2 linked regions of the Ovis aries genome follow. The protein of the gene in region 1 interacts with the protein of each later gene in a pairwise test. Links are inferred from orthologs where the notes say so. Each region holds a gene or a part of one and is shown on either strand. Other genes may lie near its edges.

Region 1 (15,595 bases):
TCTCTGCTACCCTATTAACCCTTCAGTTGAGCTTTAAGCCAACTTTTTCACTCTCCACTTTCACTTTCATCAAGAGGCTTTTAGTTCCTCTTCACTTTCTGCCATAAGGGTGGTGTCATTTGCATATCCGAGGTTATTGATATTTCTCCCAGCAATCTTGATTCCAGCTTGTGCTTCTTCCAGATCAGCATTTCTCATGATGTACTCTGCATATAAGTTAAACAAGCAGGGTGACAATATACAGCCTCAACATACCCCTTTTCCTATTTGGAACCAGTCTGTTGTTCCATGTCCAGTTCTAACTGTTGCTTCCTGACCTGAGCACAGATTTCTCAAGAGGCAGGTTAGGTGGTCTGGTATTCCCATCTCTTTCAGAATTTTCCACATTATTATTTATTATCTGTTCCTCCCCACTAGAACATAAGCTCCGCAAGAGCAAGGACCTCTGTTTCATTTGCTGGCACACAGTATGTGCTTAATACACATCACTGAATGAATGACTTAAAAATGAATTCTGGGCATTCTGAGGGGGAAAGAGACAACCTGAACAGAAAGTGTAAGAATGACTGAGGGAAAGGCAAGTGGTTCAGACTGACTAAATGAAGGGGTTAATGCAAGGTATTTTGGAGGAAGTATTGTTAGAAAAGGAAGTGAAGACATATGATAAAGGATCAAGAAGTGATAAGGAATTCCCTGATGGCCTATAGGTTAAGAATCTGCCTGCCAGTGCAAAGGACATGGGTTAAATCCCTGGTCTGGGAAGATACCACATGCCACAGGGCAACTAAGCCTGTGTTGCACAACTACTGAGCTCACAGGCCTAGAGGCCGTGAGCCACAACTACTGAAGCCACCGCAGTGAGAAGCCCACCCACTGCAATGAAGAGTAGCCCCTGTTCACACCAACTAGAGAAAGCCCAAGTGCAACAACAAAGACCCAGTACAACCAAAATCAAAAGGAAAGAGAACTGATGAGAAGACAAACGATTTCTGAGTTAATTTATATGCAAAGTACATCATGAGAAAAGCTGGGCTCGGTGAAGCACAAGCTGGCATGAAGATTGCCAGGAGAAATATCAATAACCTCAGATATGCAGATGATACCACCCTCATGGCAGAAAGAGAAGAACTAAAGAACCTCTTGATGAAAGTGGAAGAGGAGAGTGAAAAAGTTGGCTTAAAACTCAACATCCAGAAAACTAAGATCATGGCATCTGGTCCCATCACTTCATGGCAAATAGATGGGGAAACAGTGCAAACAGTGAAAGACTTTATTTTGGGGGGCTCCAAAATCACTGCACATGGTGACTGCAGCCATGAAATTAAGACACTTGCTCCTTCGAAGAAAATTTATGACCAATCTAGTGAAAGTGACCAATCTAGGCAGCATATTAAAAAGCAGAGACATTACTTTGCCAACAAAGGTCCATCTAGTCAAAGCTACAGTTTCTCTAGTAGTCATGTATGGATATGAGTTGAACTATAAAGAAAGCTGAGCACTGAAGAATTGATGCTTTTGAACTATGGTGTTGGAGAAGACTCTTGAGAGTCCCTTGGACAGCAAGGAGATCCAAGCAGTCCATCCTAAAGGAAATCAGTCCTGAACATTCATCGGAAGGAATGATGCTGAAGCTGAAACTCCAATACTTTGGCCATCTGATGTGAAGAACTGACTCATTTGAAAAGACCCCGATGCTGGGAAAGACTGAAGGTGGGAAAAGAAGGGGACGACAGAGGATGAGATGGTTGGATGGCATGACCGACTCAATGGACATGAGTTCTGAGTAAACTCTGGGAGTTGGTGATGGACACGGAGGCCTGGTGTGCTGCAGTCTATGGGGTCGCAGAGTCGGACACAACTGAGCAACTGAACTGTACTGAACTGAATGTTGTAAAGGTAACAATATTTCTGCAACCCAAGTAAATACTCCTTGAAGGAAAGTGACTCTATGATATGAAATCTTGAAAAAAATGATGCAAAATTTAATTCACACATAGGCATGGCCTCAAAACTAAGTAATACATTTTGTGCCTCTTTACCACCATCCTCTTCATCATCACATGAAAATCCTTAGAGATTCTTATAGTAAGAGCAACTTCGTTTAGACTAAAGGAAAAGATGGTTATCAGAGACCACAGCCAAACACTGACTTTCATTTCAGACACTAATCAAACAGAAAAGAGAAAATGATATCCATAAATGTTTCTTTTTTACTCTTGGAAATGACTTTAAGAGAAGTGTGTGGATAGCGAAGGAAGAAAAAGTTTCTTTATTGTCCGTTTCAATGCTCTGCACAGGGAGGGGAAACCCAGTGCCCTGATCCTCCCATTACTTAGTGAATAAATAATAATTAGGACAATTATGCAAAAAATGTTTATTGTGGGCTTCTTCTGTGTGGAAGATAGAGTAGTAATAAATGCAGACTTCTTCCCCATCTCAAACTTTTTAGAGATTATTTTTATTCAGTGCCTCATTAGAGGTTATTTCACTCAGATAAACCATGCAGATAAACCATGCCTTTGCAGATAAACCATGCAAAGAGGTGACCTTATGGTTGCTGGTTTGTATTATGATCCTAGTATTCTCCCCAAAAGCCAAGGATAAGCTTCTGACACAGCAATCCTGTAATTCAACACACCTCTCTCTTTGTAAAGAATGCTTTAATAGGCACAACTGAGTACAGGGTAGGAATGTGAGCTGCATTCAGCTCCTTTTGTATATCTTGGTTGATAAGACTATGCAATCCAGCACAGCCAGCTGGAATTCTGCCAAATGAGCTGAGATCCCCATAAAACTGACATTCATTGGACTAGCGGGGAGGAGCCAGTACATTTTCTTTACGAATTATCAGAGCTAGCCTAAGTCCTATGGAGACCCTAAGTATTCAAAGGACGATGGCGCCTTCCTCTCTCACACATACACAATTCTAGATGAAAGTAGTTCATTCCAATACATTTGTCATTTTCTCATGAGGATAACTTTAATAATATAAATAACAAAATGACATTATTTCAAAAAAAAACATAGAAATGCCCCTCCTACTTTGTTAAGTATCTGTATAATTTACCTGTTGCATATTTATCACTATACATTATGAACTGACAAAGGTCTGGGTGCTGAGAATCCTTAAGTGGCTTAAACTTAGCCAAGGCTACAATTACCTTTCAAACCATTTACGATCTGTAATATCTTTTGCCTCGAGCCCACTCCCATACATACCCAAGCAAAGAGCCTGTAATAGTGTCTTCCTTTGAAATCTACGCTAACTTCCTTTTTCAGTGATAGATCCTTAGAGACCCCTTTCACAATTCAAGGGTCCTTCATCACAAAATAGTTTGGAAAGCAGATTGTAACCACTATATTTGCCAATGCTATAGGACAAGAATGTGGAAGAAACTATAGAAGAGCACAATTTCCAAAAGATCATACCTGGTCAGTTTGAGGGGTAAACAGTTAAATGAAACATTACAGCAGGCTCTATCACCATCACACACTACTGAACATGCTTCACAATCACGTATATCTTAGGTTCTCAGTTGGATGGGTCTTTGAATGCTCCTGCCACAGCAAACTATTCCTAAACACAAAATAGGGTTTTAAATACTTTGCAACTCATATATAAATGTATTTCTTTAAAATTTTTATCCAGCTTTCTATGCCTTGTACATATATGCAATCTGTTTTCTGTCTGCAGTTGCAAAATTCTGGCGCACAGATACTAACATTCCAGGCTATTTTTAGTCCCATCACAGTCCGTATTTAGGGACTTCCCTGGTGGTTCAGACAGTAAAGAATCCACCTACAATGAAGGAGACTCAAGTTCAATCCCTGGGTCGGAAAGATCCCCTGGAGAAGGGCATGGCAACCCACTCCAGTATTCTTGCCTGGAAAATCCTATGGTCAGAGGAGCCTGGCAGGCTATAGTCTATGGGGTCAGGACACAACTGAGCGACTAACAGTTTCACTTTCCTTTACCAGTCTGTATTTGCAGCTCTAATTAATAAAAAAAGCCAATTCTAGCAGGGTCTGACATCACAGGCCTGAATTGCTGCCCCTACCATCTGATCAGTGTGCGGTCCTTCCTTACAGAATTCAGATCTATTGTCTAATCTCTTTGTCAAAACTGATGAAAGCAGAGCCTGTGCTTAACTGCAGATGACCGTTATACTGAGGCCCTGTGCTAGTTAAAGGCCCATCTTTACAGTTGCTATGGTAACTGTCCCCTTCCTCTCTCTACAACCTATTCTGGCTCTGCCTCCACGTGGCACTCTTTTCTGATTGCAGAAACGGGGAGGCTTGCACATCCATTTGTGCTCTTTGCCAGACTGAGATCTGCAAATGGGGGGCGGGTGGGTAGAGAAGAGCACTGTCTCATGTGTCAAATAGGGTGAGGCATCCCCACCATTTTATATTCCACTGGTACTATTTCTGTTACACAAAGGATTTTCAGGGCCCTGTCCATGGTTTGTTGTTTGTTTTTTTTTAATTTGAGGTGTAACTGACATATAACACTATGTTAGTTTCAGATAGGGCCATATCCAAATTGCAGAATGGATGTTTTGCTAGTAACAAATGCTTCATGATAAGAACCAGGGCTACTGTGAGGTACTTAAAATGCAGACACTGTCCAACCCTCATCAAGGCCTCCAAAGAGGAGGTGAATCAGAAGGTGGCTCACAGCCGTGCTGAATCAAGCACTGTGCTCCTTTCTTTCCTGTACCATCCGGAAAGTGTATGGCACAGGGAACCCACAAAAGTACTGCTGGAGTCCTAGGGCGGAAGGCAAGCTCTGCTCTGTGTGATACACATACAGAATGACTCAGTATCCTGGGTAAAAGAAGATACAGGAGTGCAGAGTAGGTGGTGGGGACAGGCTGAGGAAAGGAGGGAGGGGGTGTGGATTAGGCTTTTAGCACCACACCATTTTCACAAGGATGTTCCAGGCAATCATAAAACAGTGCCAGCCTCCTTAGTCCTCTTTCACATCCTCTGGTTTTGGCTCTTTTTTTTTTTTTGGAAGGGCCAATCTCTTCCCTTGTTCAAACACTGTCCCTTCAGTTTTGAGAATTCCCTGGGAGAACTAATACCATTGTCTCCCAAGGTTACCCAATTCACTGTGTCACAAGTAGTTGGGAAGGACTTTTCTGGGTTTTACTCAAATCCCCTTTGCTGCAGTCTGAGCTCATTGCACTCAGTAGAGATGGAGACAAGCCAACCACTATCTTCGGAATAACAACTCACCAGGGACTCAGGGCCGGAAGGTCATTCTGTCCGTCCTGATACTGCACAGCCTTCCAGAGCACACCCAGGGCCTGGGGCAATGAGGACAGAAAAACCGAGGACGGAATCTAGGACCCTGGCAGGCAGTGACAGGAGGGAAAAAAAAAAGAAAAAAAACCACCTCCAAACAACGATAATACAGACACACCGACTGAAGGATACACCAAACTCAAGCAGAGAGGGACAAGATGGCTCCCCTCAGTACTGTCGAGGCTGCGGAACTGCCAGACAGCACTTACTCGGAAAACAGACTACCTAGAAGCTTCTTCTGGCGCGGAGGCAAAAGACTCGCCCCTCCACCCGGCCCGCAGAGCCCCCACCCCTACTCTAGTCCGACTATCTGCTCCCTCTGGAAAACGAGTGATGACGGAGGGGGAAAGCCAATCCCCCCACCTCGGTACCCGCCCCCCACGCCCAGCGACACCGCAGAGCCGGAGCGTCGCGGCCGCAGCCCCGCCCCTGCGGCGCCAGTGCTCCGCCCCCTGACAGGCAGCAGCCAATGAACGACTTCTGCTGCCGGCCTTTAAGAACCGCGCGCACTCTCCCCGCAGCGGACGCGGCTGGCCTAGCGCGCCAACGGAGTTTCCATGGAGACCGAGGCTGGGCCCGGGCGGCCTCGCGGCGTTGCCATGGAGACAAATCCCGGGCTAGGGCTCCGCAGCCCCGGCTCTCCGCCGGCTCAGAACCCCGCGGAGCCGCTGCGCGAGGCCGGAGCCGTGGTGGCGGCGGCACGCTGGGACCTGCGGAAGCACTCTTTGCTCATCGTGATCGGAGATATCGCTACAGAGAGTCAGCTGAGGGCCGTTCGGGCCCACCTTGAACAAGGTGAGCTGCTGTCCTGGCTGCGCCCGGGACATCCTCCATCCCGTGCTTCCCTGCCGTCTGCATCCTCTATCCCTAGTGTGCATTTCCTGAGATCTGCGCGCCCTGTTAATCTGAATCATCAGCCCCTGTCACCTGCATCTTCTATGTCACGCGTTCGTATCCTCCCAAACTGCATCTCACAACCCCATCCTCGCCTCACGCCCCACGGCGTTCCGCAATCTCCCTGAGGCAGGGGTGGGGGTAGGGGTGGGGGAGCTGGCACTGCCTGGGTGGGGATGCCCTCGGTTATACCCCTCTCTCCCGCAGTGTCTTGGGCCAGAGGTCCTGAAAGTCCTCACCATCCCATGCAGAGTCCATGTCCCTACCTTAGTTTCTTCTTTAGGTCTCCTGAACAGGCACAGTGTGCTTTCTGAATGCTGCAGACAGATCTCAAATATCCCAGTGCTAGCGGCCAATCTGAAAGAGTGACCTTAGTGGCCACAAGCTCTTCAGCCCTCCACTGCCTGTGGCGCAATGCTGCGGAGCCACCTGCGGGTGGAAGCAAGCCACGGAGGAGTGGAGGCAAGGAGGGGGCCACAGGAGGAAAGTCCAGGATCCTACTTCGCTGTATTGGGAAGGCAGCCCCTAGTATCTGGAAATGGGCCCTTGGGTGTCACTTCTATCACAACTGGGCAACTCTGTAAGAAAATTCCTACATACAAATTCACCAATGACCAAATTTAGCCTAAACTGCCCTCCTTCCCCTAGCTCAAGCAAAGTCAAGAATGGTACAGGACGGGAGCTAGACATAGGACTGGCCACCTTTCTTAAATACATTAGTGAGGCTGATCATGACAACCATCCTTATCCCCTCCCTCTCCTTACCCCTTCTGTGAGCTTGGAAATGCTCCCCGAAGTCCAGTCCCTCTGACCTTATCTGGGTCTCTCTTTGTTTCTTTTTCTCTCACAGGCATTCTCTCCTGGAACATTGATTTATCATCCATTGACTTGAACCAACAATTGAGACTCTTCATTACCCGGCATCTAGCTCACTTCTCATCAGAGGTCAAAGGTTAGGACTAGTGTCATTTGTCTCGGTGCTGTGGGTGAGGGATGGTCACAGAAGAGCAGAGGTCCAGTCTCTCTGGCAGAACTGACCTTGTGGGAAGTTTGGGTTGGGGAGAAGGGAGGGGTTCCTGAGGGGAATGCTGTAGAGCTCTATAGCGATCTCCACATACCCAGGTCACTTCACAGACAAATGGTATGATGGTGGAGGAAGCCTGGAGAATGTAATTTCTGCCTGATAAGGGGTGGTTTAAGGACAGCCAACGTGCACTAAGGGAATGAGGTACCTCTTGAGTGATTAATCATCTCCTATGTAAAAGTTCACTCTCTTTTTTGTGTTCCCCTTTCTGTATACCCTGGGCTCCTTGCTTCCCTTTACAGGGACCCTTGAACTCCCCCACTCACCTTTCCAGATCCTTGCTTAGCACTTTCCCTCAGGCTGCACAGCCTATCCTCCAGCCTCTAGGGTTTCTGGTTCCTCCTTTGGCTCAGTCAGCAGATGTTCAGAACAGAGCAGAAACCTTGACCCAAAGGCTGATGAGCACCATCAAATGCAAAGTGGAAGCAGCGTTTCCTGGGTTCACTGCTGCAAGAGCTAGCCATACTTTGAGATTTGGCTCTGAGATCAAAGTTTGCAGGATGCAGTTTCCCATTCTGCTGTGTGGGAGAAATGGTCAGGAATTTGAGAAAAGTAACATTTTAGAAGCTATTATTCCATGACAGTACCTATGGGAAGACTTACAGAAAGCTCTACATCGCATTATAAAAATGCTTGGGCATCTGGTCATGTTATTGGTAAATGTCGGCAAACCAATTCATACACCAGTGTCTCTATGGAATATAAATCCACCCAGTTCAACAGTCCTTACCATCAAATGACTGAATTCGTATCTTATGCAGATGATTCTCAATTATCCATTATATTAGACAGTCACTTCCCCTTCTTGTTCTGCTCCTCCTGCTAACTGCCACATCGTTGGTCATTGCCCTGATCACCTGTCCCTCTAGAGCTGCTCCTGGAGAGAGAAGACAAGTTTAATGTGACTAATGCTATATTATCTTAGAACTATGTGCAGCATTTTGAAAATGCTGTGGCCCAGCTCCTTCTAGAGGCTGGCATCTTCTTGATGTGACTGGCTTCCTATGAAGCTAACCAGTCGCTGTTTTGAGACTTCCTTCTGTTTAGTATACTTACGCCATGGCTTCCTCCATTAGCTCTAACAATGTGAAAATCGACAGTTTTACCACTTTATTAATCCTAGGAGCTTTGGTGCAAGGCTGGAGAAAGGGATGACAGCAGATGAAATTAATGACTCAATTGAAGTTTGGGAAGTATCTGCTGATTGTTATTAATTCACGCTGAATTTTCAAACCTTGTCTTTTTGGACATGGATGTGAGAGAAGGATGCTTTCTGGAATGATGTAAGAATGAAGAGAACTTGAACCAAAAAACTTAGCCATTCTTCAGATGAAGATTGGGGGATGCTTGGGAAAATACTTACAGGGAGATGCATAGTTACTCTCAGGGACCTCTCAGACTGACATACAAACACCTACCAGATCTTTTCAATAACAGAGTTTTAGCATGGTGCCCTCAAGGAGCTTAGGACAATTATACCCAATATCAGGGCTTACTTCTGAATTTTTTTAGGTTTGGACATTTTTCATGGTGGCCTGTCTCTGTCCCTGGAGAATAGTGGATAATTTCCTGGAAAAACCTACATGGCTCAAGACAGCCACAGCCCCACCCCTGCTGGCTCCTCTTTCAGCTGTCCCCACAAACAACAGTCAGCCCAGAGCAGCTGCAGACACTGCCCCTCCCTTCAGCTTCCATTAGTGGGGAGGCCAAGGGAACCAGGCTGCTGGGATGAGCTCCATGGCATATGCTAGTAGCTTACGATTTTATCTGTTCTGCCCACCCCACAGGCTGGGCCACCATCTCTCTCAACTCTCCTCGAGCCCTAGGTCAAAATGCTGAAAAGGGGGGACAAAAATGTATCTTGTGATGATAGAGTACAATCATTCCTGCTACCACCCTTTACACACACACACAAACCACATACACACACACATAGGGAGAGTACAGTCATTCCTTCCACCACCCTTTACACACACACACACACACACACACACACAGAAAGGAAGGGGACCCTTTGATGGAGAGTCACACACACACACACAGAAAGGAAGGAGATCCTTTGATGGAGAGTCTCACACACACATACACACACACACACACACACACACAGAAAGGAAGGGGACCCTTTGATGGAGAGTCACACACACACACACACACAGAAAGGAAGGAGATCCTTTGATGGAGAGTCTCACACACACATACACACACACACACACGGAAAGGAAGGGGACCCTTTGATGGAGAGTCAGTGGCCCAGCTCCTTCTAGTGGTCAAATGTGGTAAAGGCTTTCCAAGGTAAATTTTGTACCACTTTGGTCTCCAATGGTGACTTGGAAGCTTCCTTTCTAACTCCTGCAAAAAAAAAAAAAAAAAAAACTCTGGAGTTTCCAAGCATTTTAAAACAAACCCCAAAACAATTAGAACAGTGGGAGTTATTTAAGCTCAGAACTGTGATACTGCTTCTACTATTGAGCACATATAGGAAGGAAGAGTGTTTCGTAATTTATAATTCATGATTGATATTCTGGGACTAAAACAGACACAGGCTCAAGGGCCAGTTTGGAAGCCTTCTTTCTGATGCTGCATCACCACTGATGTGCTCAGGAAATGTTAGTTCTGTTCCTTCTGCAAACATGAAGCCTATTCTGAACTGATACAGCAGCTCATTGGCCCCTAGAACTGGGGTTCGCACCGATGTCAGAAATGGGAAAGGAGGGACATGAAGAGTACGTGAAGTCCCTTCTGACAGGCACTTTGAGTCATGGCTTTACCTTGGAGCTAAATTAATCTAGAGTTGAGATATTCTGGTTTAGGAGTTCCTGATCACCTAGGTGACCTCTCATAAATCTTCCACAAGAGGGAGACAGACTTCCAGTGGCATTTGTGCATTACGGGTTTAAGGTTCTAGGAATGAAGCACTTTTTCATCTTTTATGTCATTTACTCCTTGTGGCGCTATTGGAGGGTGGTACTAATATTATACTCATTTTGGAATTCAGGAAGTCATCTTTCAGAAACCTTAAGTGGCTTGTTTAAAAACATGATTAGTAAAATGGCAGAGTCAGATCTCAGATCCAGGACTTCTGATCTCACTTTGTGTCTGAGCTCGGGCCTCTCTTCCTCGGCATCTCACCATTGCATTGCAGCAGAGCCAAGGAACACAGCGGATGGAGGTGTGGTTGTGGTGGGTAGGCTGTTCAGATGGTGAGGGCTGAAGGAAAACTCCGCTGTGAGTTGGAACCTTGCCCAGGGTGTGGCTCTTGGGGGTGATAGCTGAGAATAAGGGTGGGCTCTGCAATGGTCTGGGAAATGTTATTTTGTTCTCAAACCACATGTCTACTCAAGTTTCCCTCTTAGCACACTCCAGAGAGCTCTAGAAAGCAGGGAGGAGAGAGAAGGTTCGAGGTGGGAGAAAATAAGAACTATGAAGTTGCAGAAAGGAAGTGTCTCCCCTTTGTGATGCTCGGAACTCAGCCTGGTTTGTGTTGTACGTCTCTGCAGATGGCCTCCTCTATCCAAATGGGGCCGTTGCCATGTTACTGCTTTGCATCCCCGGATCTGAGCAAAGATTCCTCCCCCTCTTTAGTCCCCCCCCCCCCCCACTGGTGACTCAGCTCCTCCTCTCCTCTCCAGTTTACGGGGGATGGGGATACTGAGAGCAGAGACTATTTTGGCTTCTCTGACCTTCAAAAGCAGCTCTTGGCAGCCAGGGGCAAGGGTGGAGCCGGTGCTAGGGAAGAGTGAGTGGATGTCACTGGGAGGAAGCAGGAGGAATTGCCCAGGACTGGGGAGGGTTGATGGGAGGGAACAGGGCAGGGAAGGACCCTGTAGGAACTTGAGCATCACCGGTTGGAACTCAGTGCTAGAGCTCCCTGGGTCCTCTCTTTGAGTCCTAGAGCGTGTCACCAAATCTGAGACAGAAGAGGCTAAGGGAAACAGGACCAATGTTAAAAGGATTAAGACCCTATAAAATGAAGACATCAGAGAGACATAGCAAAGTACAGAGACAAGAACAGGGACCCAACACCCTACAAAGTCATTATAAGATCTTTTTAGTCCAAAGTGTACTTTATGTGACATTTAATAATTGGTCTATAGAAAGAAACTCTTATAGGCCTGGGGCCCTGCTGATCTTCCTTCATCCCTTTAACTATTTCACTGAAAGGTAGAATGTGCCCTGAAACTTCAGAAAATGCCTCTTCATACTCAAAGAACAAGAATTCCAAGTATCAGTGCCTGTGTGGTTGCTGTGCTGTGCTGCATTGGCACAGAATTGTAGGCAGTCTTAGGGCCCCTGTGCCCCACCCCAGACGGGCTAGAGATGGACTAGGGACTGTGTGTCCACTCCAGAATTTCAAACTACCCCCCAACCTAAAATGACTTCTTTCTGCCACATTCCCTCCCCGAATGTCTACAGCTGTGGCTCGGAAGACAGCAGAGCTCAGCGCAACTGCCTCCTTTCTGTCATCCCTAGCCTTCTCAAGTAGTCCCTTCACTCCTACCCTAAGCTTTTAGACCCCCAGCCTTTTTGTCTCCTGCTCCTCCAGGGACTGAAGGTCATTCCCCCAGTCTGAGGGGAGAGGCAGCAGATGGTTCCTGAGAGAAAGGGGAGGGCCCAACCTCCTATATCCCCGGCAATGTGTAGCACAGAGTTTGGGTCTTTAGCTAACACTAAAAGAATGTATCTTAACTAAGCAGCGGTGGGGGAGAAGGACCCCCGCCCCGTAGGCCACTGGAGACCACCCTGACTCTTTGAGCTGCTAGACGACTCCTCAGCCCCCAGCCAAGCAGAAGCACTAGAGCGCTGACACTGTGAAGGCAAAGAAACAGTTAAGTCTCTAGAGCCTCGTCATGGACCAGCCCCTCTTCCCCGCCCTGGCGCCGCCCTCACCATCAAGCGCCCCCCTCCCCCCCACCCAACTCCCACCCCAGTGCCGCAGACTCTTCTCTGAAGCTGCCGGCTGAGGCCGGAGCAGCAGCCTCCATGAGGGTCTCCCCCCAACATCCCGGGTAAGAACCTAACCGGGCCAAAGGACTTGGCATGCGGCCGTGGGGGATGCTGTGATGAGGAGGTGGGATGCGGGTAATAGGAAAGGGAGTTGATAACATAATCTGCTGTGTCTGGAACTAGCCTGGCGGGGGTGGGCAGGGTGGGGAGCCAAGAAGATGAACTGACTGTGGGGCCAGCCTGGACCCAGAACCAGGCGGAGGCCAGTGGGGCCAGCACTGTAACAGGCCACCGCGCGAGCTGGGCTGAGCTGGGCTGAGCTGGGTGCAGCCGCCCAGGAGCAGCCGCAGAGGGTGGTGTCACCAGCTCTGCCCAGCGGCCTGGGGCTCAGACGGAGTTAGAGACGGGCTGTGTCTTTGGTAGAGACAGAAGAATTAGAGGGAAAGGCGGATGTTGTGGGAATGCACCGAATGGGAGAGTCTCTGTGTGTCAGCTGCTGGATTGCTCAGCTGCTCCGATGCAGGGGGGTGAATGGGACCGCGAGTTTTTGCCAAGTAAGGGAAGGTGGGGGACACTTTGGAAAAGAAGGGAGGAAGGGGTCGTTAAGACTTGGCACGCGCCTCTTCACAGACCAGCCGGTGTGCGGTGTGCTCCCCACACCCATTCCCGGCAACCTTCGAGCTTGAAACTTGGACTCGAAGCCCCCTCTTTCTGGCTGCCTCCGGGGATGGAGAGGCCGTCTCGGAGACGGGGAGCGCTTGCTCCCCAGCAGCTGCCCCGCATTCCCAGGGCTGTCAACCCAGCCGGCTCCCAGTCACGGCCCCACCCCCATCTCCGCTTCTCTTCCCAAGATGGGGGCTCCGAACAGAGGAGCCGGTTTCTTCTCCTCTCGGCGTCCCCCCCTTTTCCCTCCCCACCCCCCATGCAGAGGCAGCCAAGAAAATGACTTGTCATGCTGGGGTGGGGGCGGGGGCGGAGCCGGAGCCGGAGCTCAGCGCGCACACTCACACACTGCGGCACACTGCAGCTGCCCGGCCCCCTCCCGCCCGCCTCACTGCGGAGACACCTGCCCTCCCGGCTCCGCACCCGCAGCCACCCCCGCCCCCACTAACCCCATCCCTGGCCTGGGGATGTGCCTCTGACTCAAAGCAGTCCTCTCCGAAGAAAGCGGCAAAACAAGTCCGTGGCCTTCAGTGGGATTGCGAGGGGAGCTGAAGAGAGGCAGAGGGCTTCCTCCCGGCCCCGAAAAGGAGGGGCGCGGGATACAAACCATGGAGTAGTGGCCAGTCACAGCCAGAGCGCCCAGGGTGAGCCATAGGGTCTTACGCCAAGACCGGAATTGGTGGTTACAAACCAGTCTAGGGGGCCGGGGTTGGGGGCGATGGCAGACTGGGGGGGAACAGAGGCAGTGGAGAGAAAGCAAATTGGACTGTATCACAGATGTTTCCTTTTCTGATCCTCCTAGCTCAAGTGTGTTGACCTTGGGCGTTTGTGCTGGGGTTGCAGGAGATAGTGGAGCTGCCCTTCCAAATCTAAACTACTTAGAGCCCGCCTTGGGCTGGCTGCTCCCTGAATCCTTGAAGTCCCTCATCCCTCACCTGCCCAAGCCCTGCCCCCTGCTGACTCCGAGGTGGTTCTCATCCTCTGAACTGACCTCAAAGCGTCCCTCAGTTCGCAAGTTAACAGAAGAGAACCCTTGAACTCCGCATGGGCCCCGCCCACCCTGCGTGGGCCTTGGTCTTCCGGCACCATCGGTAGTTTATTTCCCTGCAGCTGCCAGATCTGCCAGATCCTGGCACCATCGCTCTTCCGCTTAACAAAGGCCCTGGCCCCGGGGTCCTCTTGTCTGAGCCCCAGAGAGAGGAGAGAGCGCTGGGTCACAGAAGAGGGTCTGGGGGACAGGTTATGAGTCCTCCCACCAGTGTCCTCCAGACAGCCCACTTCCACACCGACCACCTATTCAGTCGGTGAGGGTGAGAGGAGCCAGGGCTGGCAGCACCCTTCTTCGGGATCTCCTCTCTAACCTAGCTCTTTCTTTCCTGCATTGCTTGGTGTGTATTCTGTCCCCCACCCCACCCCCGTAGCCTGGGGAACGCGCTGAACCTCTCCTATCTTAACTGTTTCTTGTTTGTGCACCCCAGACTCCCCTCCCTATGACAGAAGGCCCATAGGAGAGGCACAGGAGTGAGAGGAGAAACTGTTGTTCTCTCGGAGAGGTCAGGTTGTGGGGAGTGAACCAGGAGCCTTGGGGACGTGGAGCTGAGGTGGGAGATGGAAACCTTTAGTGGTGGGAACAGGATGACTGTGTTTGTGAGTGCAGGCTTGGCCTCTGAGGAACCAGAAAACAGATTAAGAGGTCCTGTTTCTCCTCTGCATTGTAACTCCCTAGGGTTTAGATAGCTCAGACTGCTCTGAGGCCTTTGGAATGGGATGTTGGGCCTCGGATGGGAGTTTGAAAAGAGGATGAGTCCGTACCCACTGCCGTCTCCTTATTTCCAGGCACTCTGGCAAGAAAGCCCTGGGCAGAGGCAAGCTAGTGAGCAGAAAGCTGAGTGAGGATCAATGTCGCAGAAGCCCCTCCTCCAGCTGAGCCCCCCATCCCCAGGCAGCACCAGGAGCTTAGTGCTCCAGAGCGACAGAGAGGGACAAAAGGTTCTTGTCAGCAGGGCAGCCTGAGGCGGGAGTTCCAGGCAGAGGGGGTGTTAGATGAGGGGAGGGAGCAGACAGCCAGTGCGGAAGGAGGAAACCCTGGAAGGGAAGGACTGCAGCCCGGAGCCAGTCCCCAGACCTTACTCAGCAGGTCCCAAAGTGGCAGGATCAAGGAGAGCCAGGCTACTCTTTCCCCCAGCCTCATTTTCTGATAGTGCAGTTTTTCCTCTCCTGCCCTACACAATGCCTCTCCACTTTAGTCTCTACCCACTTCCCTCAATACAAATTCCTACATCTCTCCCTCAGGCCAGAGGACCCTCTGCCACCAGAGTGAGATCCTAGAGACTGTCATCCTCGTAAACCCCAGTGCCGACAGCATCAGCTCTGAGGTAAGGCCAGGGCCTGAGCCGCACTGGCCTCAAGGGCCTGCTGAAAGTGCCATAACCCACCCCAGCCAGTGCCAAGAATCCCCAGGCTTGGCTTTGAACCACGCTCTCTCTGCCATCTAAGCTGCCTCACAATTCCAGCCCCACCTGGAGGTGCTGTGGGGCTCCCAGTGGGGAGCGTGTCCTTGCCGTGCTGAGGGGGACCTGGAACCTTCAGTGCCCTTTCCTGGGCTTCCTCCATCGTGACCAATCCTCTGTTTCTGCTGTAGGTTCACCACCTCCTCAGCAGCCCATCAGCTCACAAACTGCTGATCTTGAGTGGGCA
Region 2 (15,412 bases), on another chromosome or scaffold:
GCAATACAGGAGAAGTGATGTGACAGAGCAGGGGCCCACACCTGCACTGCGCCACTCCTGCCCCTCTTCCTTGAGGTTCCTGGCAAACTCCCTGAGCTACCATCTCTTCTCACATCCAGCTGAGGATAAGAGGGTTACAGGTGCCCAGAATTGGTCCATGATCCCTGCTGTTTCTGGGCCCTGCTCTGCACCCCACCCTACCCCATCCCACGGCCCATATCACACCCTATGATGATGCTGGGCCTTCTGAATTCCCTTGGCTAACTGGTGAGCCTTCTTATAATTGGTCACTAGGTCGTGGATGGAGGTTGGATCATATCAGTCTACTGCAGAACTCATGGCATTTTGTGCCTGATTAGTAGTCTTTTTCCTTTTTGAATTGTTTTTGCCTTCACGGCATTTCATCTTCGTGCGTTCAGATTTGGCAGGCAACCAATGATACAGTCTGTAATTTCTGCCATTACCCATGAAGTAAAAACTTTGAACAATTCTCTGTTGGCACAGCTACACACACCTTCAGAGATCCCAGACTGGCTCGTTTATTCTGGTGTTATCTTGTACATGTAGCTTGGATCTCCATTTGGTCTACAATTCTAGACTTTCTGGGAGGAAATTTGTAGCCACAGAATTGCTCAACTGAGAGGAAGGGAGTGGATGGACTGATCTCCCTATTTACAGAGTCAGCCTGGTTATGCGACCAGATATCATGCTTTGCCATATTTGGCTGTTAAGGACGAGTGTGTATTTTACAAGTGACTGTTTTTAGCACTCATATAAATAATACTTTTTATTCTGTCCGAGTCCCATTTATAATCTCTCTACCATTAAATAGCACACACATTCCTGCATTCCTTCTAGGTGCCTCCAGAAGGTTTCAATTGCTTACCCAAAGGTTAAACAAGTCCTGGAAGCAAATGAAATCAATCATTAACAAAGGGATGAGAAACTTGCTTCTGGGAAGATTTGTTTCTTCCCTTTTCAAGATTGAAGGGAGAAGAAAAACAGCTCCAAATGACAGCCAGAGGACAGAGGTCACACAGAGTCATTAGAGCACAAGGCCCCTTAGAATTGTGCTTTCAGATCATGGTTTCTAAAATGAAAATCATGGCCAGTTATGCCAAGCTCCCAACCCGGAAACCAAAACTGCCCAGCTCCCTCTGATGCTTGAAGCTCAGCCCACAGCAGAGACCAACCACTGAGGACTCCCAGACCCCCAGGTGGTCCTGTGCTTCCACTGCCTGATCATCTTGGAGTCTCTAGGAGGACCTCCCCAGAAACCTCACCAGGCCAAGAGCACGTCGTGATTCCTGTGAGGTGGGGTACAGAGAAGGCCTTCCCTAGTTGCTGTTGGCACCCAAGGCCTGGCCTCACAGAAGCACTTTCTTAACTTCCCTAGACTCAGCCTCTGCAGCAAAAGCAGTTGGTTGCTTGTCACTGCTGTGTCATACATAACTCCTGTCAGAACAGAGTGATTTATCTGCTTGATTCTGAGTATCCAGTATCTGTGGATTGTGCGACCCTTCGTGCAGTCCTGTCATTTTTTTAACCGACCTTTCTCTCATGCCCCAGAGCAGGTGTTCTCAGCCTTTGTCACTTCCTTGGGTCTCTTAGAAGTGGGTGCTCCCTAAACTTCTGTCTCTTGCTTAATCAATGCATTGACTCTCTTGCTACTTACTGAGGTGCTCGTATGGGTCAACACCTACTGGGCAGTAGACACACAGCAGTGATGGAGCAGACATGGCCTTTGTGCTCACTGTGGGGGTTCAGTTCAGTTCAGTTCAGTCGCTCAGTCATGTCCAACACTTTGTGACCCCATGGACTGCAGCACGCCAGTCCTCCCTGTCCATCACCAGCTTCCGGAGTTTACTCAAACTTATGTCCATTGAGTCAGTGATGCCATCCAACCATCTCTGTCATCCCCTTCTCCTCCCGCCTTCAGTCTTGCCCAACATCAGGGTCTTTACAATCAGTCAGTTCTCCACATCAGGTGGCCAAAGTATTGGAGTTTCAGCTTCAGCATTAGTCCTTCTAATGAATATTCAGGACTGATTTTCTTTAGGATGGACTGGTTGGATCTCCTTGCAGTCCAAGGGTCTCTCAAGAGTCTTCTCCAACACCACAGTTCAAAAGGATCAATTCTTCGGTGCTCAGCTTTCTTTATAGTCCAATTCTCACATCCATACATGACTACTGGAAAAAACAGCTTTGAATAGACAGATCTTTGTTGGCAAACTTATGTCTCTGCTTTTTAATATGCTGTCTAGGTTGGTCATAACTTTTCTTCCAAGGAGCAAGCGTCTTTTAATTTCATGGTTGTACTCACCATCTGCAGTGATTTTGGAGCCAAAAAAAAAAAAAAAAAGTCTGTCACTCTTTCCACTGTTTCCCCGTCTATTTGCCATGAAGTGATGGGACCAGATGCCATGATCTTAGTTTTCTGAATGTTGAGTTTTAAGTCAGCTTTTTCACTATGAAGGTTAGGACCTGACCTGCAATCCCCTCTCACTCCACAAACTCTTCCTGGATCATCTCATTTCTTCTCCAAGGATTTCCATTGCCACTTGTGCCCTAATGACTCCCTCTTGGTTCAGCTGACCCATAAACTCACCCAATTCTGTGCCAGACAGTGCCTGTAGGCATCCTGACTTGTGGTTGGCAATGAGGAAACCAATCTCCATGTAAAGTGGGATGGCTGAGCATCACAACCACGACTCTTATCCCACAATGCCTTTACTTGGTGATACTTTCTCTGATCCCAGCTCAAAGCACCATGGCGGAAAACCTCAGAAGTGCTACTTCTCTTTCCCACCTGCCCAGACATGGATAATATTCTTCCCAGTTGGAGCAGAAATTTCCCTCCCTCCCCACACCCCATTACCACCCAGCAATACCTTCAATTCACCTAGAGTACGGCCTCAGAAAGACAAAGGAATTCCCTTTCCTTGTCGCCTAAGGTCTAATTTCTAAGACCACAGTTCTTATCCCTTCCTGCAAGGGATCTTCCCAACCCAGGGATCAAATCTGCATCTCTTATGTCTCCTGCATTGGCAGACGGGTTCTCTATCATTAGTACCACCTGGGAAGCCCAATACAGACATAAAATAGAACAAATAAAGAGCCTAGAATGGGGCCTGATGCCTAGTCAATAAATAGTAGCTATTGTCATTATCATTGTTATTATTACTTGTACAGATTGAAATCTCTATGTGGGGAGGGACCATGCCTGCCTAATTGTCTACTGAGTTCCAAGCTCCTAGCACAGTACCAGGCACAGTGTCCTTTAGTCAACAATAAATATTCAGAAGGAATGAACCAGGGTCCTCCAGACTCTTACACCTCTCAGGCCAGGAAAGGGGCTGCAAGAATTGATTGAAAGAGCAGCCTGAGTACCCACTTTCTCTCTCCAGCCAGAAGATGTACCAAGTAAAGTGGTTAAGAGTCTGTCCCACAACAGGCTGGAGTACCAGGTCCCTTTGGGGTGTTGCCATGTCCCTGAGCCCAGGCTACGTGTTTCCAGGAGTCCAGTTCTCACAAAGCTAGCCCTTGTGTTTGCCCCGCATCCCTGGGAGGCACAGAGAAAACAATGAAGCCATCATCACCAACTTCCATTCCTAGTCTGTGTGTGGACAGGGAGGGCCGGGGAGAGGCTGTGTTTGACTTGGCTGGGGAACATCATTTTTCTTCACTGAAGAAATGCATGCCAGAGGGGCTAAAAGTAGAAGGTAGTTCTCACCCAAGAGAGCTGTATTCATCAGAGGCCAGTAATATAAAGTAATTACAGTAATATAAAGTATATACAGTAATATAAATATAAATATTTATCACAGTAATATAAAGAAGCTGTATCTTCCAACTACACATCACCCACTCCTGCTTTAAGATTCGGTTCAAATGTCTCCTTCTCCATGAAGCCCTTCCACCTTCCCCTTGGCTCCTAGTGTGCCCTGGGCCTGCTATCTCCATCTGAGCATGCTCAGTGAACACCTTCCTGGAACTTGCCCTCGCCAGGGCAAGGACTGTGTCTTATTTGCTTTTGCAACCCTTGTCTTAGCAGAGCAGTGTGCTGCTGCATTCTGAACTCGGGAATGGCAGAAAGATATCTTTTGAAGGGCATTAAACCCCCTGTTGTACCAGAGTGTGAAGAGAAGACTGGGGTTATGTGCGGGTCTTCATAGGAGGGAAGTTCTCTGAAAACTTCCCTGAACTTCTCTGGGAACTTCTCTGAAAGCTAGTGCTGTGCTCGCTAAGGTAGGGCAGTCAGGGCTACAGGCCACTGCACCATCAGCCTCAGGAATGTGACTCCCTTTATTGCTGAAACGACCTCCCTGCACGGTATAATGACCAGAACTCTCCCTTATTCCAAGCCAGGGATTCTCAAAGTGTGGTCCCTGGACCAGCATCACTTGTTCTCTGCCCCAGATGTGCTGATCAGAGACTCTGGAAGCTAGGCCCAGCCATCTGTGTTTTAACCAGCCCTCCACATGATTCTAACTCAGGCTTGAGTTTGAAAACCCCTGTTCTAAGTACACGGAAACACATGTGAAAAAAGACCGTAGAAACACAAGCCAGACTGACTTCAAATTAAGATTAAACAAGAACCCAAGCCAATGCCCTTTGCTATGAAATGCCCAGGATCAATGAAACACCCCACTATTATCCATGAAACCATTCAACAGGCAATTAAATGAACTCAGCACATTTATTTCAAATGTGCAAAATGAATGTTCATATCCTAGGAGTAACACCAGATGTTTTGCCTCTTTTTTTCCTAATTGATTTTCCAGCCTACAGCAATTCATCTTTATATTTTCCAGTTGGATCTAATGCAAGAAGAGTGTGTTCCGGCAGCATTATTAAATGCCATGCATTTAAAAACAAGCATAACCCAGGCTGCCATGCGTCATCTGGGTGGCTGTCTTCCTAAAATTAAAAAACAACAACAACAAAAACCAGACAGCAATAGGTACCAGGCAGATTAGAGCAGGCAGGAAACCCAGAAAAGGCCCTTTCAAAAGGTCTCCAGGCTCTTGGCCAGTTGCAAAGCTGAATCCTGGGCGCTAAGCCCAAGCTTGAGCTCTTCTCCAGAGTCCTGCACTCCCTGGTACCAAAGGATCTGCAAGCTGTAAAACTTGCAAGTCAACATTTTGTTTTTCAGTGGAAATTTCTGTCTTGAAAATGAAGACAAAAATGGCTGAGGGATGGAGGTGTGTGTGGTCAGGACCTGGGGAAAGGATGAGGCTGCGGATCCTTCCCTCAGCTTGAGTGGACCCTCTCTTTGCTCTGTGCCTCCAGCAGCCCAGACAATTATCCTCTGTTAACCAATGAGCCTGGCTGTGCAGGAGGCCCTGTTATTGATGTGTTTCGTTTGTTTTTAAGTGGGTGAAAAGTCATCAGTAACCAGGCTTGCTTTACTCAGCAAAAGCTCTTGGGAGTCTGGGGAAAGACTGGGAGACAGAAGCCTCAAGTTTTAAAGCAAAGGGCTTTAAAAGGGGCCTTCTCTGCTCTGCCTGGGGGGAAGGGAGGCAGAGGGATGGAGTGGGTGGCAGTGGATGGCAACTAAGGCCTAGAAACCCATAAAGTGTTGATTCCAAAAACAAAAACCACATGTCTTAGGTAGTCAGGGGAGGTTGGCAGTATCTGCTACCTTTCCTAGAAGCTGCTGAGGCTGGCAGTTTTGAGCCATCATACCTGTAGAGGGATTTTGATGTGGTCTCTGAAGGTTAATCTGCCTGTCTGGTTCTGAGATCCACTGCAGCAGGCTGAGTGTCTGAAATTAGAGCTCATCATATTTCCACCTCAGAACCTGGTTGCTCCAACTTTAAATAGCAGCCACCCAAGACCTCCAGTGTTCTGTTGGTAAGGCGGCTACTCTTGGTACTTAGAACAAAGCATTCTGGGCTCCATACAGACACTCAAATGAAAGTTCCACAGCAGAAGGATTGGCTTCTGATTTGGGCTCTCCCCGACTTCTACCCAGGAGCTCAGGTCAGAGATAACATCCTACAATCTCAGGGGGGACACTGTGTAACCCCTGAAGATCTGAAGGGAACCCAGGAACCAGTCTTTGAGACAGTGATTAACAAAAAGTTATCTGAATGCACAAATGACAACTTTCCAAGTTTCAAAGAATAGGATGCACAGGCTACAAAATAGACTTAGACACAGTGTATAAGCCATTCAGACAGTTCACATTAGGTCAAAGGTTGTGGCACTGGGAGCCTGGGTAACCTCTGGCCCTGGGGCAGGAGCAACCTGGTCATCCTTGGCCACCCAATCCCCTCACATCCTCAGAGATTTCATCCCCATTTCCTACAAACACTTGGAGGGAAATAGAGTTAGTGGAGCCTCACCTAGCCGAGTTCTCCCCTTGCCCTCAAATTCACAAGATTTTTACACATCATTAAACCACAGGAGCCATTTTATAAATGTCATCATCATAGTTTTTTTAATATTTTACATAAAAAACTGTATACACAGCTTATAGAACTTTTATGTAAACATCATAAGCTCACCACTTTGTCATTTGTCAGTTTATTTAAAAAATAAAAAAACAAGACAATTTAGTAGAAGTACCACTGGATGGGGGAAGGGAGGGGGAGAAAAGAGACACAAGAGGGAGGTTTATTCTCTGTACAGAGATGCAGAGAAAATTTCACACAGCTTTAGAGACTGCCTTGAGGGAAAAAAAAACCAACAACAAAAGGTTTTAGATAGGCCCTAATACTGGTTACTGCCCTTTATCAAAAGAGTGCGCATACGTGCACAAATAAAATCGCAAAATAGAACAGTGTTGCCACTTTTTTCAAAAGAAAAAAATTAGTGGTTTCTTTTTCTTCTCCTTGTTTTTTAAAAGTCATCATTTTTTAAAAAAACATCAGAAGTAGATGAGGTTACAGCGTACAAGTGTGGTCAGAATGCTACTGTCTTATGCAAATGACAAGTGCATTAAATGTCAAACAATGAAACAATTGTGCAAAGAATTCGTTCCAAAAAGAAGAAAAAAAACAAGTTTAAGCCTTTAAATAAATCAAATAACATCAGTTTCTTGGACTGAACAATTTTCACTTGCAGGACAGGCACAAAGTTCGCTTATGGCAAAAACAACCTGCAGCACACTTCACCCCTCCTTCTCAATGGCTAGTGAGGGGTTCGCCGGGGGGTGGGGGGTGGGGGGGCTGGCTGGCAGGAGACAGGAGTCTGGAAGCTGTGTCCTCTCAGGCCCCAAGTCAGCTGCAAATGTCTTCCCCAGGGGTAGGAAACATGGCCAAGTCTTGTTCGTGCTGGGATGACGCCTCACTCAGACCCGGCTGGAGCTGTTCTAGCGCCCTGTCACTCCACCCACCACCACCATTAAATAACACCATCCTACCTCCGAAAATAAAATTATATCTATATTTATATAACACCCCATCCTCCCCAGCCCTCCCCTCCCGCAGGTCCCGAGGTCTATGTTACAGACAGGGCATAGCAGGCGCTCACTGGTTACAGACGCACATCCGATGGGGCGCGGCCGCATCCCGGCGCCAAGCTCATGTCCGGGGAGCAGGGGCTGGCGTGGGGTGAAAACTCGGCAGCGGGGAGTCGAACATACACACAGCCACACACCCTGAAGAGGCTTCGCTCTTCAGAAAATGGTGTTCAGGGGACCCTTGGCACTCAGTGGGGTGGCCAAGCCTGTGCCACACAGCCGGACGCACAGACACTTGGAAAGGGGGCGCCGGGTGCCTACCACGCGGCCGATTCTCGGGTGCCAGAGCCTGAGTCTCCAGGCCACGGCTGCCGGGGCTGAAAGCAGACGCCAGGCAGTCCGGTGGGGGTCTTTGGGGGGGGCAAGGTTCTCCCCTTCTCCGGGCTCGTGGGGGACGGGCCCGGGATGGGGAGCCGCGCTGGCAGGGGCAGGCGGGTCGGGCGCGGCCCTCATAGCACCTTGCAGCAGTTGATGCAGCCGTTCTGGGAGCCGTAGCGCTTCTGCAGCGCGGCGCGCGTGGCCGTCTCGAAGACCTCTCGGACGCCCTCCTTGGTCTTGGCCGAGCACTCGAGGTAGTCGTAGGCTTGGATGCGCACGGCCATAGCGCGGCCGTCATCCGTGCGCACCGGTTCCTGCTTCATGCGGGCCAGCTCTGTGCGGACGTGCTCATCGCTGCGCAGGTCTTTCTTGTTGGCCACGAGGATGATGGGCACGTTGGGGCAGAAGTGCTTCACCTCGGGCACCCACTTCTCGGGGATGTTCTCCAGCGAATCCGGGCTGTCCACCGAAAAGCACATGAGGATCACGTCGGTGTCCGGGTAGGAGAGCGGCCGCAGGCGGTCGTAGTCCTCCTGCCCCGCCGTGTCCCACAGCGCCAGCTCCACCTGCTTGCCGTCCACCTCGATGTCGGCCACATAGTTCTCGAAGACTGTGGGCACGTACACCTCGGGGAACTCGTCCTTACTGAACACAATCAGCAGGCACGTCTTGCCGCACGCGCCGTCGCCCACCACCACCAGCTTCTTGCGGATGGCCGCCATAAGCGGGCCGGGCCCGGGCAGCAGGAGGGGCCCCGCGAACGCCTCGCTGCCGTCCCGCTCGCCGCTCACTGCTCACCTCGGGCTGCGCGCTGGGGACAAGGGTCGCTAGCTGCACCCAGGTCCCGGGATGGCGCGCGTTCCCTCGTAGTGCTCGGACTGCCGCGGCGGGGGCGGTGGGGGACTCGGGGGCATAGGGCGCACGGTGCGTCTCCGCGCTGCTCCCGAGCGGCGGCCGCTCTCCTCGCCCCTGGTCTCGGGTCGGCGCCTTTGTGAGCAAACGGTGGCCAGAGCAAGCGGATGCGGCCTAGCTCCCTCCTGGATCTCCCTAGGCCTAGGCGAAAACACAAGAGAGAACACGAACTCAGCCCGACTGCGGCGGCAGATGCAGGCTGCGGCCCTAGCGCCCGCTATTTAAAGAGTTCGGCGACTTTCTTAATATAGCCGTCCAATGGGAAGCAAGCCGACTGAGCTCATCGCTGCGGAGCTTGGCTTTGATTGGCCGTCCCCTGCAGCCCACGGGAGGGGCCGGGCGGGCTTGATTGACTGCCCAGGCCGCGGGGCTGGGAGAGGCGGCGACTGGGGAGTTTGCCGCCGCGGCGGGAGCTGCGGGTCTCTGGCTGCGTCAAGGTTCGCTCTTTCTGCGCGCGGGACCGAAGGGCTGAAGACGGCTGCCCGGAGCAGCCCGCGGGGCCTGGGCGAGCGGTTCCGAGACAGGAGGCACTTTGTGGGCGCGTGAATGAGTCTCTCCCACTCGTATTGCCCTGCTTGCTTCGCAAACTCCCAGCGGGTGGTCGGACCTGTAGGGTAGGGAGCGGCTCCTTTAACGTGGTTTTGTTTTTAAATGCACAGACACGCAGACACACACGCACACAGGCTTATTTCCAATCAAGGTTGTGGTTTGTTGTTGTTGTTTTTTCTTTTTCTTTTTTCTTTTAGAAGCAGCCCCTCCCCTTGTCGAGCCTGCCACCATGCTTCCACGAGGGTTCTTTCCCTGGGCCGTGTTTGGATCTGCTAGAGGGTGCCTTATGGGTGGGCCTGGTTCCGGTTTCCGGCTTTAACAAGCCAGTCTCTTTACCGCTTTCTCGGGCACCCAGCCTAAGGTCTCCAGGTGAAGGTTCAGGGAAAGAGGGTCAGTGAAAAGGGAAGGTCGAGGCTGATTGCAGAACTTCAGGTACACTCAGGAAGTAACCAGACAGAAAAGGGCAGCCTCAGTCCTGGCTTGCAGGATTAATTTGGATCCTGGTTTATCTGAAGTAAGTAGTGCAATAAAATCCAACCACCCCACACCCCATTAGGCAAGAATAGGCTGAAGCCCGGATGGGTGGGCTGAGAAACTTGCAGGCTAGAACAGGACAAATTAGTGTGTGTGTTTGAGGGTGGGGAGTGTGCTAGAAACCTAGTCTCTGGCAACCCACCAGGACTTGTTTCATCTACTCCTTGTATTCTGCAGGAGATGACACTTATGTCTGATCTAGAGGGGCCTAAGTCAAAGCATCTTAATGGATAGAAGAGGTGGGGAGGCGGATGGAAGGAGGAAGGGAGGGAGGACCTCCCAGGAAGGAGGAACAGCTTGAGCAAAAACAGAGATGTGGGGAAAGAGTAGGACAAATTCTAACAAAAGAGAATAGCTTAGTGTGGCTTCCCTTGGTTGGGAGAGAAAGAGTTGAAACTCAGGATGGAGACCAGTTGTGGAGGAACCAACTACACAGGTTGGGCCATTTCCATTCTGGGGGGAGTGGGATGCTTCTTGGCGTTTCAGAAAGGAGAGACTCACTACATCACGATGAGGTTCAGTTCAATTCAGTCGCTCAGTCGTGTCTGACTCTTTACGACCCCATGGGCTGCAGCTTGCCAGGCTTCCCTGTGCATCACCAACTCCTACAGCCTGCTCAGATTCATGTCCATCTAATTGGTGAGGCCATCCAACCATCTCATCTTCTGTCATCCCCTTCTCCTCCTGCCTTCAGTGTTTGATCACGATGAGGTTATTGCCTCCTACTTCTGACTCCCCCTCTGACTGGAAGCCGTTGGAAGGCCCGAATTCTTCCTTATCTTAGCATCTTGAAGCGCTGGCACAATGCCGGAGTCTGCATCTACGTAAAAATCAGTAAATGACTGTGGAGAATTCACTTAAATGCTCAGGAACTTAGTTGGAACTTTCTGGAAGTCTCTTATCTCAAACTCCAGTCTGTGCTAACCATCCAGTCAAACCTGGGCACCAGCTGTAACTGAGCCATTTACTCATATATGCGAAAAATGTGATCCATGTGTCAAAACGTAGGTCTCAGATGGACACAGATATCATCAGGTCAAATAAGACATTAGTTCTAGTGTCATTTAAAAGCTAACCTCGTTCAAATGACCAAATCTGCTTCCCTCACGTTGGATTACCTCCACTACAATGCCTAGTGTTTTTTTGTTTGTTTGTTTTTCAGATCTAAGAAACTGAACTGTCAATAAGTAAACAATTTTTCCACAGTGGAATCTCACAAGAGAAAGTAAGGTTTTGTTTGTTTTTTTCTTTTGGATCATTTGTTTAAGGCTCCATTCTTGAAACTTTTTCCTTTCTTTTAAATTTTAGTTAGCCTATTAGAAAAATCTTACCCAAGTTTTTCCTCCTATAGTCAAAACCTTTTATAGCTGTATTGTTAATACTACTTTCCTTCATCTTAATATAACTTGGGAATCTTGGCTGTGTCATTAAGCTTCAAATATTAAGAAAACATCAAACAATTAAAGCTTTGTACCATGTATTTAAAAGAAAACAACAGGAAAACAAAGAATCAGGAAGAAGGATTCAATTCACTCATTTCCTGATTCTCAGACATATTATATGAGGTGTTCCAAGCTTGACTCTCAATATCAAAATAATATCTAGAAATATTCAGTTGGTAAATTATGCCAAAATAAACAAGTAGAAAAAAATCTATGTTCTGTAGCAACTTCTTTCCATGGTATTCATTTGTATATCCAGGGTACTTTGACAAGCTTTGTGGACAGTGGCTACTTCAAAGATCGTACCAGTCACAGGATAAACTTTCCGAAACTAGATGATGTCCCAAAGGGTCTCCTCCTTGCCTCTCCCCTCCCTTCACAATACGCTGGCAAAAGGCAAGGATAAAACTGAATCATCAAGAACAAATCATTTTAATAGTTAACTTTATTAACATATACATTCATTGTATGACAGATATCCACACTAGTGAGAGAGGGAAATTATCCTTCAGACAAAAGGGAGATGTTAATCTACCTCCTGTCTTCAGCTTAATTTATTTCGTCTTTTTTTGTCCACTGTCTCCTACACATTGCCTGTAAATCAGCCCCCCTCTCCCGCCCCCCTCACTCCATACAGACAAGAACAGACTAAGAGACTGGAATGTTCATTGGATTTTAGTGCCACCTTGTGGTAATTTTTACAGGGCTTTTTTTCCCCCCAACTCAAAAAATATATATATAATTGTGGTGGTTCAGTCACTAAGTCATGTCTGAGTTTTTGCCACCCCCACTGAGGACTTCAGCTCCTCAGTTCTCCACTACCTCCTAGAATTTGCTCAAATTCATGTACACTGAGTCAGTGACACTATCTAACCATCTCATCCTCTGCTGCCCCCTTCTCCTGCCTGCAATCTTTCCCAGGGAATGGGCTCTTCGAATCAAGTAGCCAAAGTATTGGAGCTTCAGCTTAAGCAACATTCCTTTCAGTGAATATTCAGGACTGATTTTTCCTTAGGATTGACTGGTTTGATCTCCTTGGTGTCCAAGGAACTCTCGAGAGTCTTCTCCAGCACAATTGGAAAGCATCAATTATTTGAAGTTGAGCCTTCATTATGGTCCAACTCTCACAACAGTACATGACTACTGGAAAAACCAAAGTTTTGACTATAGGGACCTTTTTTGGCAAAGTGATGTCTCTGATTTTTAATACCTTGTCTAGGTTTGTCATAGCTTTCCTTCCAAGGAGCAAGTGTCTTTTAATTTCATGGCTGCAGTCACCATTCACGGTGATTTTGGAGCCCCCCAAAATAAAATCTGTCACTGCTTCCACATTTTCCCCTTCTATTTGCCATGAAATGAAGGGACCAGATGCCATGATCTTAGTTTTTTGAGTGTAGAATTTCAAACCGGCTTTTCCACTCTCCTCTCCTCATCAAGAGGCTTTTTAGTTCCTCTTCACTTTCTGCCATTAGAGTGGTATCATGTGTATATCTGAGGTTGTTGATATTTCTCCTGGCAATCTTAATTCCAGCTTGGTGATTCATCCAGCCAGACATTTCTCATGATATACTCTGCATGTAAAAACAGGGTGACAATATCCAGCCTTGTACTCCTTTCCCAGTTTGGGACCAGTATGTTTGTCCATGTCCATTTCTAACTTTTGCTTCTTTACCTGCATATAACTTTTTCAGGAGACGGATAAGGTGGTCAGGTACTCCTGTTTCCAAGAATTTTTCAGAGTTTGCTGTGATCCACACAGTTAAGGCTTTAGTCTAGTTAATGAAGCAGAAGTAGATGTTTTTCTGGAATTCCCTTCCTTTCTCCATGATCCAACGAATTTTGGCAATTTATATACGTATATAAGCTGTATACAAATATCTTACAAATATTTTCTATATATATTATATATGTGATTATATAAAACTTTAGCCAGAAGGGAGGTATTTTATGACTATTTTTAAGATATTTCATGGGATGTAAAACCTCTACTTGTTTCACAAGCAGCTTCTTTAAAAATTCTTCACATATATTTATATACACACAGAACTTTTTTCACATACACTTAAAAAAATTAATTCCTTCCTAGTTAAATAGTAATGACTAAAAGAGATTAGAGGAGATAACAGCTGTGGAAACTTACTAATTTATATACCAATGGAATTTCTTTTAACCTAATCACGATGCATAGAAAGTTATAAAGTAATTTGAACTGCAAAAATCATCTGCTTTCTCCTCCAGCTAAAAAAGCATCATTGGATAATCTGATATAATTAGAACTAATAATAATTCATTTATGGATAAGCATTTACTGGAAGCCAGCAATACCATAGACATTCCTGGCATTCTTTTGATTTTTAAACTATTTCTAATTCAAGTAGTAGCTTAGAGTGTCTAGGAAAATTGTCAACTTTTCTTCTCAATGCAGTGAGTTTCTAAAAGGGAAAGGCTATTGTAGACCTAACTGTGCTTTTTCATATGGAAAAATCGAAGTGATCCCATATGGTCTGTTTGGGACCCATTTAGCCATGCATTACATAGCTGAGGCATCAAACTGCTTTCTGGGTTCTCCAGCTATCAGTTCAGCTCACTTCAGTTGTTCAGTCGTGTCTGACTCTTTGCGACATTATGAACTACAGCACGCCAGGCTTCCCTGTCCATCACCAACTCCCAGAGTCCACCCAAACCCATGTCCATTGTGTCAGTGATGCCATCAGCCATCTCATCCTCTGTTGACCCCTTCTCCTCCTGCCCTCAATCTTTCCCAGCATCAGGGTGTTTTCAAATGAGTCAGCTTTCCTCATCAGGTGGCCAAAGTATTGGAGTTTCCGCTTCAACATCATTCCCTCCAATGAACACCCAGGACTGATCTTTAAGATGGACTGGTTGGATCTCCTTGCAGTCCAAGGGACTCTCAAGAGTCTTCTCCAACACCACAGTTCAAAAGCATCAATTCTTCAGCACTCAGCTTTCTTTATAGTCCAACTCTCACATCCATATGTGACTACTGGAAAAACCATAGCCTTGACTAGACCGACCTTTGTTGGCAAAGTAATGTCTCTGCTTTTTAATATGCTGTCTAGGTTGGTCATAACTTTCCTTCCAAGGAGCAAGCATCTTTTAATTTCATGGCTGCAATCACCATCCACAGTGATTTTGGAGCCCCCCAAAATAAAGTCAGCCACTGTTTCCACTGTTTCCCCATCTATTTGCCATGAAGTGATGGGACCGGATGCCATGATCTTCGTTTTCTGAATGTTGAGCTTTAAGCCAACTTTTTCACTCTCTTCTTTCACTTTCATCAAGAGGCTCCTTAGTTCTTCATCTCTTTCTGCCATAAAGTGGTGTCATCTGCATATCTGAGGTTATTGATATTTCTCCTGGCAATCTTGATTCCAGCTTGTGCTTCCTCCAGCCCAGCGTTTCTCATGATGTACTCTGCATATAAGTTAAATAATAAGCAACAGCAGTTCAGACAACCCTCTCCCATCCCGAGATTGTGACCCGGTTAGACCCAGGCCTAAGACAGAGAGAGTGCACTCACAGGAGAACAACCATAGCTAGAAGGTTAAACTTCAAAATGTGGACATTGACCTCTGATCAGACTCCCTGTGTCACGCCAAGGGGAGTAGGCAGTGCGCAATGGGGCAGCTCCTGATCAGTCTAAAAGTGCATTGTCCAACCTAATAGCTGATAGCCTCATGTAAAATGCTGCTGGTACCACTGAAGTACTGTTTTTAATACTATCTGATTTTAATAAATTTAAATTTACAAGCTGATATTCAAGGTAGGGGAAAAGGGGAAATGTTACTCGAAGAGTATAAAATTCCAGTTTGAAGATAAATCCCTGGAGGATTCCCTGGAGGTGGGAATGGCAATCCACTCCAATATTCTTGCCTAGAGAATCCCATGGACAGAGGAGCCTGGTAGGCTATAGTCCATAGGGTCACAAAGAGTCAGACACGACTGAAGTGACTTAGCATGCACGCAGAAGATGAATAAGTTCCAGTAATCTAATATATAGCATGATGATTTTAGTTATAAATACTGTATTATATGCTTGACAATTGCCAAGAGAGTAGTTCCTAAATGTTTTCACCACTAAAAGAAATGGTTAAAACAAATGGTAATGATGTGATGTGATGGAGGTGTTAGTTATTGCTATGGTGGTAATCATTTTGCAATATGTAAA

Evidence for each region.
Region 2: the proteins of MAP1A (region 1) and RHOB interact in a two-hybrid assay, tested with the Homo sapiens proteins (2 studies listed by BioGRID and IntAct). The link is inferred for Ovis aries from reciprocal best matches to the Homo sapiens genes MAP1A and RHOB.

Annotation. Positions count from the first base shown.
Region 1 is NC_056071.1:53,086,023-53,101,617, forward strand, and holds the start of MAP1A (microtubule-associated protein 1A), read left to right. Parts: upstream 1-5,805; 5' UTR 5,806-5,867; coding exon 5,868-6,105; intron 6,106-6,470; exon of another isoform or gene 6,471-6,633; intron 6,634-6,969; exon of another isoform or gene 6,970-7,054; coding exon 7,055-7,156; intron 7,157-7,554; exon of another isoform or gene 7,555-7,806; intron 7,807-8,018; exon of another isoform or gene 8,019-8,902; intron 8,903-12,217; exon of another isoform or gene 12,218-12,297; intron 12,298-13,375; exon of another isoform or gene 13,376-13,542; intron 13,543-15,190; coding exon 15,191-15,273; intron 15,274-15,539; coding exon 15,540-15,595. UniProt on the Homo sapiens protein: Structural protein involved in the filamentous cross-bridging between microtubules and other skeletal elements.
Region 2 is NC_056056.1:28,320,359-28,335,770, reverse strand, and holds RHOB (rho-related GTP-binding protein RhoB), read right to left. Parts: upstream 8,552-15,412; 5' UTR 8,509-8,551; coding exon 7,918-8,508; 3' UTR 6,423-7,917; downstream 1-6,422. UniProt on the Homo sapiens protein: Mediates apoptosis in neoplastically transformed cells after DNA damage. Not essential for development but affects cell adhesion and growth factor signaling in transformed cells. Plays a negative role in tumorigenesis as deletion causes tumor formation.